Cricetulus griseus: one gene and its partner. The protein of the gene in region 1 interacts with the protein of each later gene in a pairwise test. Links are inferred from orthologs where the notes say so. Each region holds a gene or a part of one and is shown on either strand. Other genes may lie near its edges.

The links.
Region 2: the proteins of Xrn1 (region 1) and Zfp36 interact in a two-hybrid assay, tested with the Homo sapiens proteins (2 studies listed by BioGRID). The link is inferred for Cricetulus griseus from reciprocal best matches to the Homo sapiens genes XRN1 and ZFP36.

Annotation. Positions count from the first base shown.
Region 1 is NC_048597.1:204,593,454-204,597,744, forward strand, and holds the start of Xrn1 (5'-3' exoribonuclease 1), read left to right. Parts: upstream 1-1,346; 5' UTR 1,347-1,455; coding exon 1,456-1,530; intron 1,531-4,291. UniProt on the Homo sapiens protein: Major 5'-3' exoribonuclease involved in mRNA decay. Required for the 5'-3'-processing of the G4 tetraplex-containing DNA and RNA substrates. The kinetic of hydrolysis is faster for G4 RNA tetraplex than for G4 DNA tetraplex and monomeric RNA tetraplex.
Region 2 is NC_048602.1:7,508,855-7,513,235, reverse strand, and holds Zfp36 (mRNA decay activator protein ZFP36), read right to left. Parts: upstream 3,073-4,381; 5' UTR 2,987-3,072; coding exon 2,963-2,986; intron 2,286-2,962; coding exon 1,341-2,285; 3' UTR 570-1,340; downstream 1-569. Other genes in the region: putative uncharacterized protein FLJ46214, read right to left, coding at 3,073-3,445. UniProt on the Homo sapiens protein: Zinc-finger RNA-binding protein that destabilizes several cytoplasmic AU-rich element (ARE)-containing mRNA transcripts by promoting their poly(A) tail removal or deadenylation, and hence provide a mechanism for attenuating protein synthesis.

The DNA of each region.
Region 1 (4,291 bases):
TAATCTGGTCTACACAGTGAGGACTGCCAGGACTACATAGGCTCAACAAAAGAATAAAACAGTTTTGTTGTGGTAGTTTGTAGACATAAAGAAGAGAAAGTGCCTGAGAATGAATCTATTCTATACAGTCCTTGCATGGAGACCGAAGTCACATAAATGGAAAGTTCTTGACTAAAGATGGATACTGTCCAAATCCTAATCATGGAAGATAGGTAGTACCAAAGGAAAGAATCAGTAACTTCACAAGTACTTGCTGTAATGAAAGTCACATAATGATAGAGACCTGTACAGAGATGTTCATGGTGGCTTTTGTCCTGTTTGGTTGATTCAAATTCTCATGTAGTACAGACTAGTCTGGAACTTGTCATGTAGATGAAGATGACCTTGAACTCCTGAGCCTCCTGCCTGCACCCTTCAAGTGCTGAGATTAAGACTTGCATACCACACTAGGCTTTTTGAGTTTTTGGTTTGAGAAAGGCTTTCATATTGCCCAGGATCTCCCTGAACTTGCTATTTGCCTGAGAATGGCCTTAACTGATCCTCCTATGCCTCCTAAATTTATAGGTGTGCAAGGCCACGCCAGGTTTTTGGGGTTTTATTGGTTTTTTGGTTTTGAAACAGGGCAGCAAAAATTGGAAGGGAGGGGAGTAACCCCCAATCTTGAAACGTACATTACTCAGAAAATAACTCCCCTCACAAACGAACCAGATCTCTTCCAGTCCGTGTTGAAAAATAGTTTAGCGATCCCAGGAGGAGATGCCGGCAGTACAAAATCCACTGTCCAATACCATCTCTTACTTAGGGCTTCTATTGCTGTGATAAACATCATGGCCAAAAGCAACTTGGGAAGGAAAGGGTTTATGTGGCTTACACTTCCGCATCACATCATCACAGTAACTTGTGGCAGGAATCAAGCCACGAAGGAACGCTGCTTTCTGACTTGTTCGCTCAGTCGGCTTTCTCATACACCCCAGGACCACCTGCCCAGGGTGGCACCAGCCCACAGTGACCTGGGCCCTCCACATCGATCATTAATCAAAATATTCCCAAAGGCCAATCTGGAGGCAGCATTTCTCTCAGAGGTTCCTCTTCCCAATGACTCCACCATGTGTCAAGTTGCCATAAAACTAACCAATCCATTCTCCCTACTGCCCTTTAACTTTTTTCATACCGTCTGCAAGTCCACACCTCTACTAATTGGCACTTTCAAAACTGAGCTTCCCACAACAATCACGCCTCTTGCGCCTCCCACCAACGAGTACGGAAAAGCAGCGAGGTAGACAGGACGCCCCGCCCACTGGCACCGTCCTGCCCCTCTAGGCCCGCAGCTTGCTCTATGGTCTGGCGGACCTTGTGTTGTCATCCTCCGAGCGACGGCCGGAGGTGGTGGCGTAGGCCCGGGCGGGGCGTTTGGTTTCGTTTCTGCACCGACTGGAATTAGTGTCGACGGTCAAAATGGGAGTCCCCAAGTTTTACCGATGGATCTCGGAGCGGTATCCCTGCCTCAGCGAAGTGGTGAAGGAGCATCAGGTGGGTGAGCACAGGCCGCGGCCCGCTCGGCGCTGTGGGACCAGGGCCTGCCTTACAGCTGCCAGCGGTGCTGTAAGCAGCCGGACAGGAGAAGGATGGGGAGGACAGAGGCTTGGCGGCCTCCCGGTGAGCACACCGGGTAGAGGCAGGCAAGATCAGTGCGGCCGCGCCAGGTGCTTGCGGCAGGTCTGAGCTCCCCCTGGGAGAGCTTTCCGCGACTTCCAAAGGAGCCCTTAGTGAGGAGGCTTTTAGTGAGCCCTGTGCCCTCCTGGGAGCTGCCCTGGCTTCGCCTTTGGCTGCAAGGCTGAGAGGGATGCCTTCCCGGGTGTCTCGTCCCACGCAAAGCAATAGACCTGTGTACAAGCACTAGCAAACGTTCCTGCGGTGGAATCGCCTAGTATTCCAGCTGTAAAGAGCTGCATCTAACCCCGACCCCTGAACCCATTGATGTAGCCAGTGATTCGTATTTGTGATACCTTTTGATACTCTTTTTAGCTCCCAAACAGTACCCATCCCCCCATTGTCTAAACGAACAAAACGTTTAGATTGGTCGCAGGGATGGGGAGGGGGGTTGATGGTGCTTAGTGCCTTTGATATGGAGAAAAAGCTCGAAACATTATCACTAATAGTTGTTGTATAATGACCCCACAGCAGCGATGATGTGAGTTCTAAAAGTGTGTATTTGTATATCTATGTATTGTAATATATTTGCATGTTTAAATAGCAGAAAGAGAGAAACCAAATGTTCTGATAGGTAAGCTAGGCTTAGAATGATAATTTAGTATGTCACATTGAATGACTTAGATAACGACTTTGGTTTACAGAAAAAAAAGAACTCGTTTTTGAAACTTGTATAGTTAATTGAATTATTTGTGATACGTAGCACTGTGTTAATAATGGGAGCTGTCAATTGTGTGGGGTTTTGTTTTGTTTGTTAAGGTACTTGGAAGTATAATTATGAAGTCTAGTCTCTGGAAAGGATTTTCTTGATATTAAGTTCTAATGAAACAGCATATATAGTGTTATATATATTATGATTTCTATTAAAGCTTGATTGAGGATTCAGAAAAGCAAAGTCAGCCTCAAGCTATAGAGATTAGCCAGAAGCTAGGAGGTGGTGGTACATACCTTTAATTCTAGGACCCAGGATTAAGAGGTAGACAGATCTCTGTGAGTCCAAAGCAACCCAGATCTACACAAGATTCACTCTACTCAAGATACACAATCTTGTGTATAGTTCTCTTTTAGCCTGCTAAAAGAGAATTATAACTCACACCTTTAATTCCAACACTAGAGGGGTATAAAAGACAGGATCAAGGATTCAATGTGAGTCTTAGTGAGAACTCATGGAGACAGGATCATCGCATTCAGTCTGAGGTAGAATTAAGAAGCTAGTGGCTTGCTGCTTTGGTTTTTTTTTTTGTTTTGTTTTGATATTCAACTTGAAGGTTGAACCCTAATACCAGTCTCTGGGTCATTTATTTTTCATGTTGCAGGCATATGAAAAAAAAAAAAAGCTCATAAAAAGTTCCAAAGTGCTAAATTGTCATTCATTTATTTTAAATATAGGTTGAGTTAGATTTAGAGGGCATTTATATCCAGGGACAAGAGTGAAAATGGAGACAATTAAGTTGTATTTCTATTGCTGGACCTTTGATCAATAAATATTTGATAGCATCTAATGTGTTCAGTAACATTTATATTCTGTGCTCTTCAGCCACAATAGTTTATTTGGTTAAAATATCTTGGATTCTCTATCCTGAGGAATTTTGTTGCAAAAACAAAACTGTCATTAAAAGGAACATTATGACATGGACAGCAAGATAGATTTTGTGAAAGTTTCTTAGTAGATTGAAATTGAAAGTAAGGACTGCTTTAATTTTACACTGTAAGTGAACTGTAAGACCTGGTGCATCAGCACAGCACGGCATGGTGTCCTACTTCTTTAATCCTAGCACTCTGGAGGCAGGAGCTTGCAGATCTCTGAGTTTGAGGCCAGCCAGAGTTACATAGTGAGACCCTAACTCAAAATAAATAAATAGGGGACTGAGAGGTGGTGTGGTAATTAAGAGCTTTGATTACGAGGACCTCAGTTTGATTCTGGCACCCACAACTGTTTGTAACTCCAGTTGCAGAGCATGATACACACACATATATGCAGGCAAAACACACACACATGAATAAATAAATGCTTGGTGTATCAAGGTAATGCCTTCCACAAATATTTTATTAAAAAGAGATCAAAAAAGGGTGACTAAGAAAGAAGGATCGAAGTTGGGATTCCCAACATCCACTAAAAGCTGGGGGGGGGCATGGGCATTGCCCAATTAGATAGCAGTCTTTAACCTGTAACACTAGCACCGGAGAACAGGGACAGGTGGATACTGAGGGCTCGTTGGCCAGCCAATCCAACTGAATTAGTGAGCTTCAGGTTCACTGAGAGATCCTGTCTCAAAAAATAAAGAAGCGATTAAGGAAAACCCCAGAGTTGACCTCTGGCCTGCTGTGTGGGTGGCAAGGTGAGCAGGAGAGTACATGGAGGGGCGGGATGGAGAGGAATAGGTTTGGGGACCAGAGAGAGGCTTAGTATCAGCACAGTCTTTGAATCCTCACATGAAAATAAAAAGGGAAACTAGATAGCAAAGTTTAAAGTCCATAAAACAATTATAACAAGCCATGTGATACAGTATCCCCATGTTACTTGTTCAAAATACTACTAGATGGTGTCAAACAACCAATAGACTCTAGACAGGGTTAGAAG
Region 2 (4,381 bases), on another chromosome or scaffold:
GAAGAGTCCAGATCCCTGCGGTTGTCTTGTGAGCCCGGCTAGCCCGCGCCGCGCTCGCACAACTCGCACAAGGGCTACGCGCTGGCTACCCCACCACGTCACAGGCTGAGCTCAGCACGAGGTGACTTAGTTTCAGAACCTAAACAAGTCTTCTGTCGGGGATTTGAATTGCACCCCTGCTCTCTACGCCGGGCGCAGGGTCCCCCTAAGACCGGCTTCGGGGTGACCCCCTGCCCCTGGCCGCCCCGGCTCGCGTTCCGGCACATTCCGTCCTCCCCGCCCCGCCCCTCCCCTCCCTCCACCCTTGGCCTCATGGGGACGGAAACATCCCGTCCCTGCCCGAGCTGGGTCAAGAGCCGGAGGGACAGGCCTGGAGCGCCCCCAACGCCAGAACTAGCTCTCCTGGTTTCTGCTGGGTGACCTCACCTCACCACGCCCCCTCAGGTGAACCAACCGGAGGGGAGCGTCACTTCCTGCCAGGTAAGCGCCCAGAGGCTGCCCGGCGAGGCTGGAGGTCAGTTTGCCCACCATCCCACAGCTGTGGCCCGTGAAAATAAAGCAATTCCATCTCAGTTCGCACTTGGGATTTTATTTAAAAATTCCATAAAACCACAAAAATAGACCTGTAAGGTAGCAATATATTACTTAATATATTATAGTATACTTAATACAGTATCCATTTTAATATTACAAAAAGAAAACACGAAGTAGACGACCCAATATATATAAATACTATAAAATCTTATTACAATAAATAAAAGTCGTCATAAATAAAGGGCCCACTGGTTGGAGAAGGGATTTGGCAATGGCTTTGGCTATTTGCTTTCGGAGGGAAATTTGAGCACCAGGATTCTCCGTCAGGGGAGGCTTCAACCACCAGACACTGAAACTCCGGGTCTAGTAAAAACTGGGATGGGGTTGTGGGAGCCAGCTCTTCACAGCACTTAAGATTCCAGGAGACCAGAGTTGGGGAGGGGGCTGGTGCATGCCTATATAACACCAAAACTTAGGAATCTAAGGAAGGATTATCTCAAGTTCAAAGACAGCCTGGGCTCTATACTAAGCCCTATCTCAGAAGCAACCCAAAAGAGTTGGGCCTGGAAGACCAACTGTCAACTGTCCCCCACAAAAATGCTACATTTTAGGTACCTCATGAACCAATACACCCAAACACTGAATTTGCAAACTAGGGACCTGCCCCAGCACAGCACCAGGGGAGTGGGTTAATGCATTTTGGAATGTCAGGGAGGCACTTAGGGATTTAGGAGTCCCCCCCTAGGTCCCCACAACAATAAGCAACCCTCTTGAGATCTAGCTGACCCACACTAGTTAGGCATTTGTCACTCAGAAACAGAGATGCGATTGAAGATGGGGAGACGCCTTGGGGGTGCAGTGGGTGGGGGAGGCCCAAACACCCCAGCTTCAAAGACGGGTGAGTCTGACCCACCCAGGCTGCTGCCGCTGCTGGCATAGTCATCTGGATCGGATCCCAGGGAGTGTGCAGATGGGCTCCGAGCCAGGCCACCCAAGGGCCCCCAGATGGTGTTAGGGGTTGACCTTCGGCAGGAGGGGCAGCAGGCTGGAACGGGGTCTCTTCGAGTCACAGGGGTCCCAGGGGCAGCAGAGAAGGCAGAAGGGGAAAGTGGAAGGTCCCCGGGTGGTGGTGGGGAGCTAGAGGGTGAAAAGGAACATGAGGACAGGGAAGGGCCAGGAAAGCCTGGTGGCGGCGGCGAGGTTCTGCGGCCAGAGGGCAAGCCCGAGAAGCTGATGCTTTGTCGAAGCACATGGGGCTGGCCCGGGGCAGCCAGGTCTTCGTTGGGGTTGTGGATGAAGTGGCATCGAGAGCCATAGGGACAGCGGCCCTGGAGGTAGAACTTGTGGCAGAGTTCCGTTTTGTACTTGGGGTGTCGATTGGCCTGGCGCAATTCACCCAGGCCGTGGGCAAACTGGCACTTGGCCCCGTATCGACAACGCCCGCTCTCCGAGTAGGTCCGACAGAGCTCGGTCTTGTACCGGGAGGCGGTGGTGGTGGTGGTGGTGGGAGTCGCAGTAGGCGAAGTCGGTGAGGGTGACAGTTCAGGGCCCGGGCGGGGAGCCAAGGGTGCAAAACCCGGGGGTGGGGGCACCCAACCGCAGCTTCGGCCCTCCACCAGGCTGGTGGAGCGGCCGGTCAGGCGGGAAGTGACCCCGGCTGGGATGGAGTCAGACGAGTTTATGCTCCAAAAGACCGAGGGGTCGGTCCCTCCGTGGTCGGATGACAGGTCTGGGCCCAACGACAGGAGGCTCTGAGAGGAACAGGGTTCGGTTAGGCCACCAGAAAAGGTGAGGTGACGACGCCCCGCCCGCCCCGGTTTGTAAATAACTTCACAAGCTTGCCATTCCGGTTTGTGGGTTCTGGGTGCTGAGCCCCACCCGGATCACACCAAGTCCGGGGGAGAACCTGATGGTGGGGGATCTGAGGGTTTCCACGCCTCCGAAGCTGAGCCAGGAGGACCCAGGAAGCCCGGTGTCCCCGACTGAGCCAGACACGGCACCCCCAAATCAGAGGACACAACTGCGCCCCAACTTCGGGCCTCTAGACCTCCCCGGATATGACCGCCCATGGGCGCTCCAGTTTCACAAACTTGGAGGAGGGACCGGTCAAAGCCGACCCAGACCAGATCTCTCTCTCTCTCTCTCTCTCTCTCTCCAACTCCCCCCAGCCCTACCCTACACTAGCTGGGGCGACAAACGGCGCGCGAGGCGGGCGAGGGGACCGGGCAGGTGCGGGGCCACTTCCGCCCCGCGCCAGTGACACCAGCGCGCCAGCTCTCGGTCCCCGGGGCCGGCAGGCGCCGGGCTCCGGGCTCGTGGGCGCCCCTGGCTCACCACCCGGAGCCGAGCCGGGCAGGTCAGGGTAGGGCAGGGCAGGGCAGGGCTGGGGCTCCGGAGGACTCGGGAGTGCCGTGCGGGCAGCACTCACCTCGTAGATGGCAGAGAGGTCCATGGTGGCGCGAACGGCCGTGGAGAGGAGGAGACCGTGGCTCGGGCCGCACAAGTCTGGCTGTGGCCGGCGGCGCGAGCTTTCCTTCTTTATAAGAGCTTGCGGCCTGGGGGGCGTGGCGGGGGCGTGGCCAAGGGCGCTTCCCGGACGCGCCCCCGCGGGGTCAGCCCAGCCCACCGGGGGACTCGGCCCCTTCCGCCCCTCGGCTGGCTCGTTACTTTGCTTGAATGTGCCCCAACTCGGCTCGCGGGCAGCCCCGGCCCGTCTCGGGGCGGTGTAGCCGGGGCTTTGTCACCCTGATGGTTAGCGGGGCGTCGGAGTAGTTTTGGAAGGTTGGCGACGATCGGGAAGGGAGCTGGGGTAGGAGGAGTGGGGGCAGGGCCCCGGGGACAATTGACAAGGGCAGGGACCCGGGAGGGCGTGGGCGTGTGAGACACACCGGGGCGGGGCGGGGAGAGACATCTGCAAGAGACGGAGATGGCCAGAGGCCGGGAGGAAAACAGAGACAGACGTACGCAAGTTAGGACAGCCACTCGGGGAGGCTGAGGCAGGAGGCTGCAAAAATTACTATAGAGGGAGTTCTAGGGCCCCCTGGGTAACATGGTGGGACCTTTGTCTTAAGAAGTAAAACGGGGGCCCCCGGCGTTGGTGGCGCACGCCTTTAGTCCCAGCACTCGGGAGGCAGAGGCAGGTGGATCTCTGTAAGTTCGAGGCCAGCCTGGTCTGCAGAGCGAGTGCCAGGATAGGCTCCAAAGCTACAGAGAAACCCTGTCTCGAAAAACTTAAAAAAAAAGGGGGTTAGCCAGAGGATAGTGTGGCTCGCCTTTAATCCCAGCACTTAGGTGGCAGGGGCAGGCGCATCTCTGAGTTCCAGGCCAGCCTGGTCTACAAAGCGAGTTCCAGTTCATCCAAGACTACGCAGAGGAACCCTGCCTCGAAAAAACAAACTAAAAATAAAAAAGGGCCAGGCGGTGGTTGGCACAGTGGCCATTAAAACCAGTTTGATCCCAGCACTCTGAGACAGAGGCAGGCGGATCTGTTGAGTTCGAGGCCAGCCTGGTCTCCAGAGTGAATTCCAGAACAGCCATGGCTACACAGAAAACCAAGTTTAAAAACAACGCCTGCGCTGCCGGGGGTGTTAGCGCACGCCTTTAATCGCAGCACTTGGGAGGCAGAGGCAGGCGGATCTCTGAGTTCAAGGCCAGCCTGGTCTACAAGAGCAAGTTCCAGGACAGGCTCCAAAGCTACACAGAGAAAACTCTGTCTCAAAAAACAAACAACCTAAAGTCCCACAAACCAGCCAGTAGCATATGGCTGTCATCACGGCATTTCAGAGGTGGGGGGAGATGAAATCAGGCGTTCAGTGCCAGTCTCAGTATTGATCGAGTTCCAGGTCCG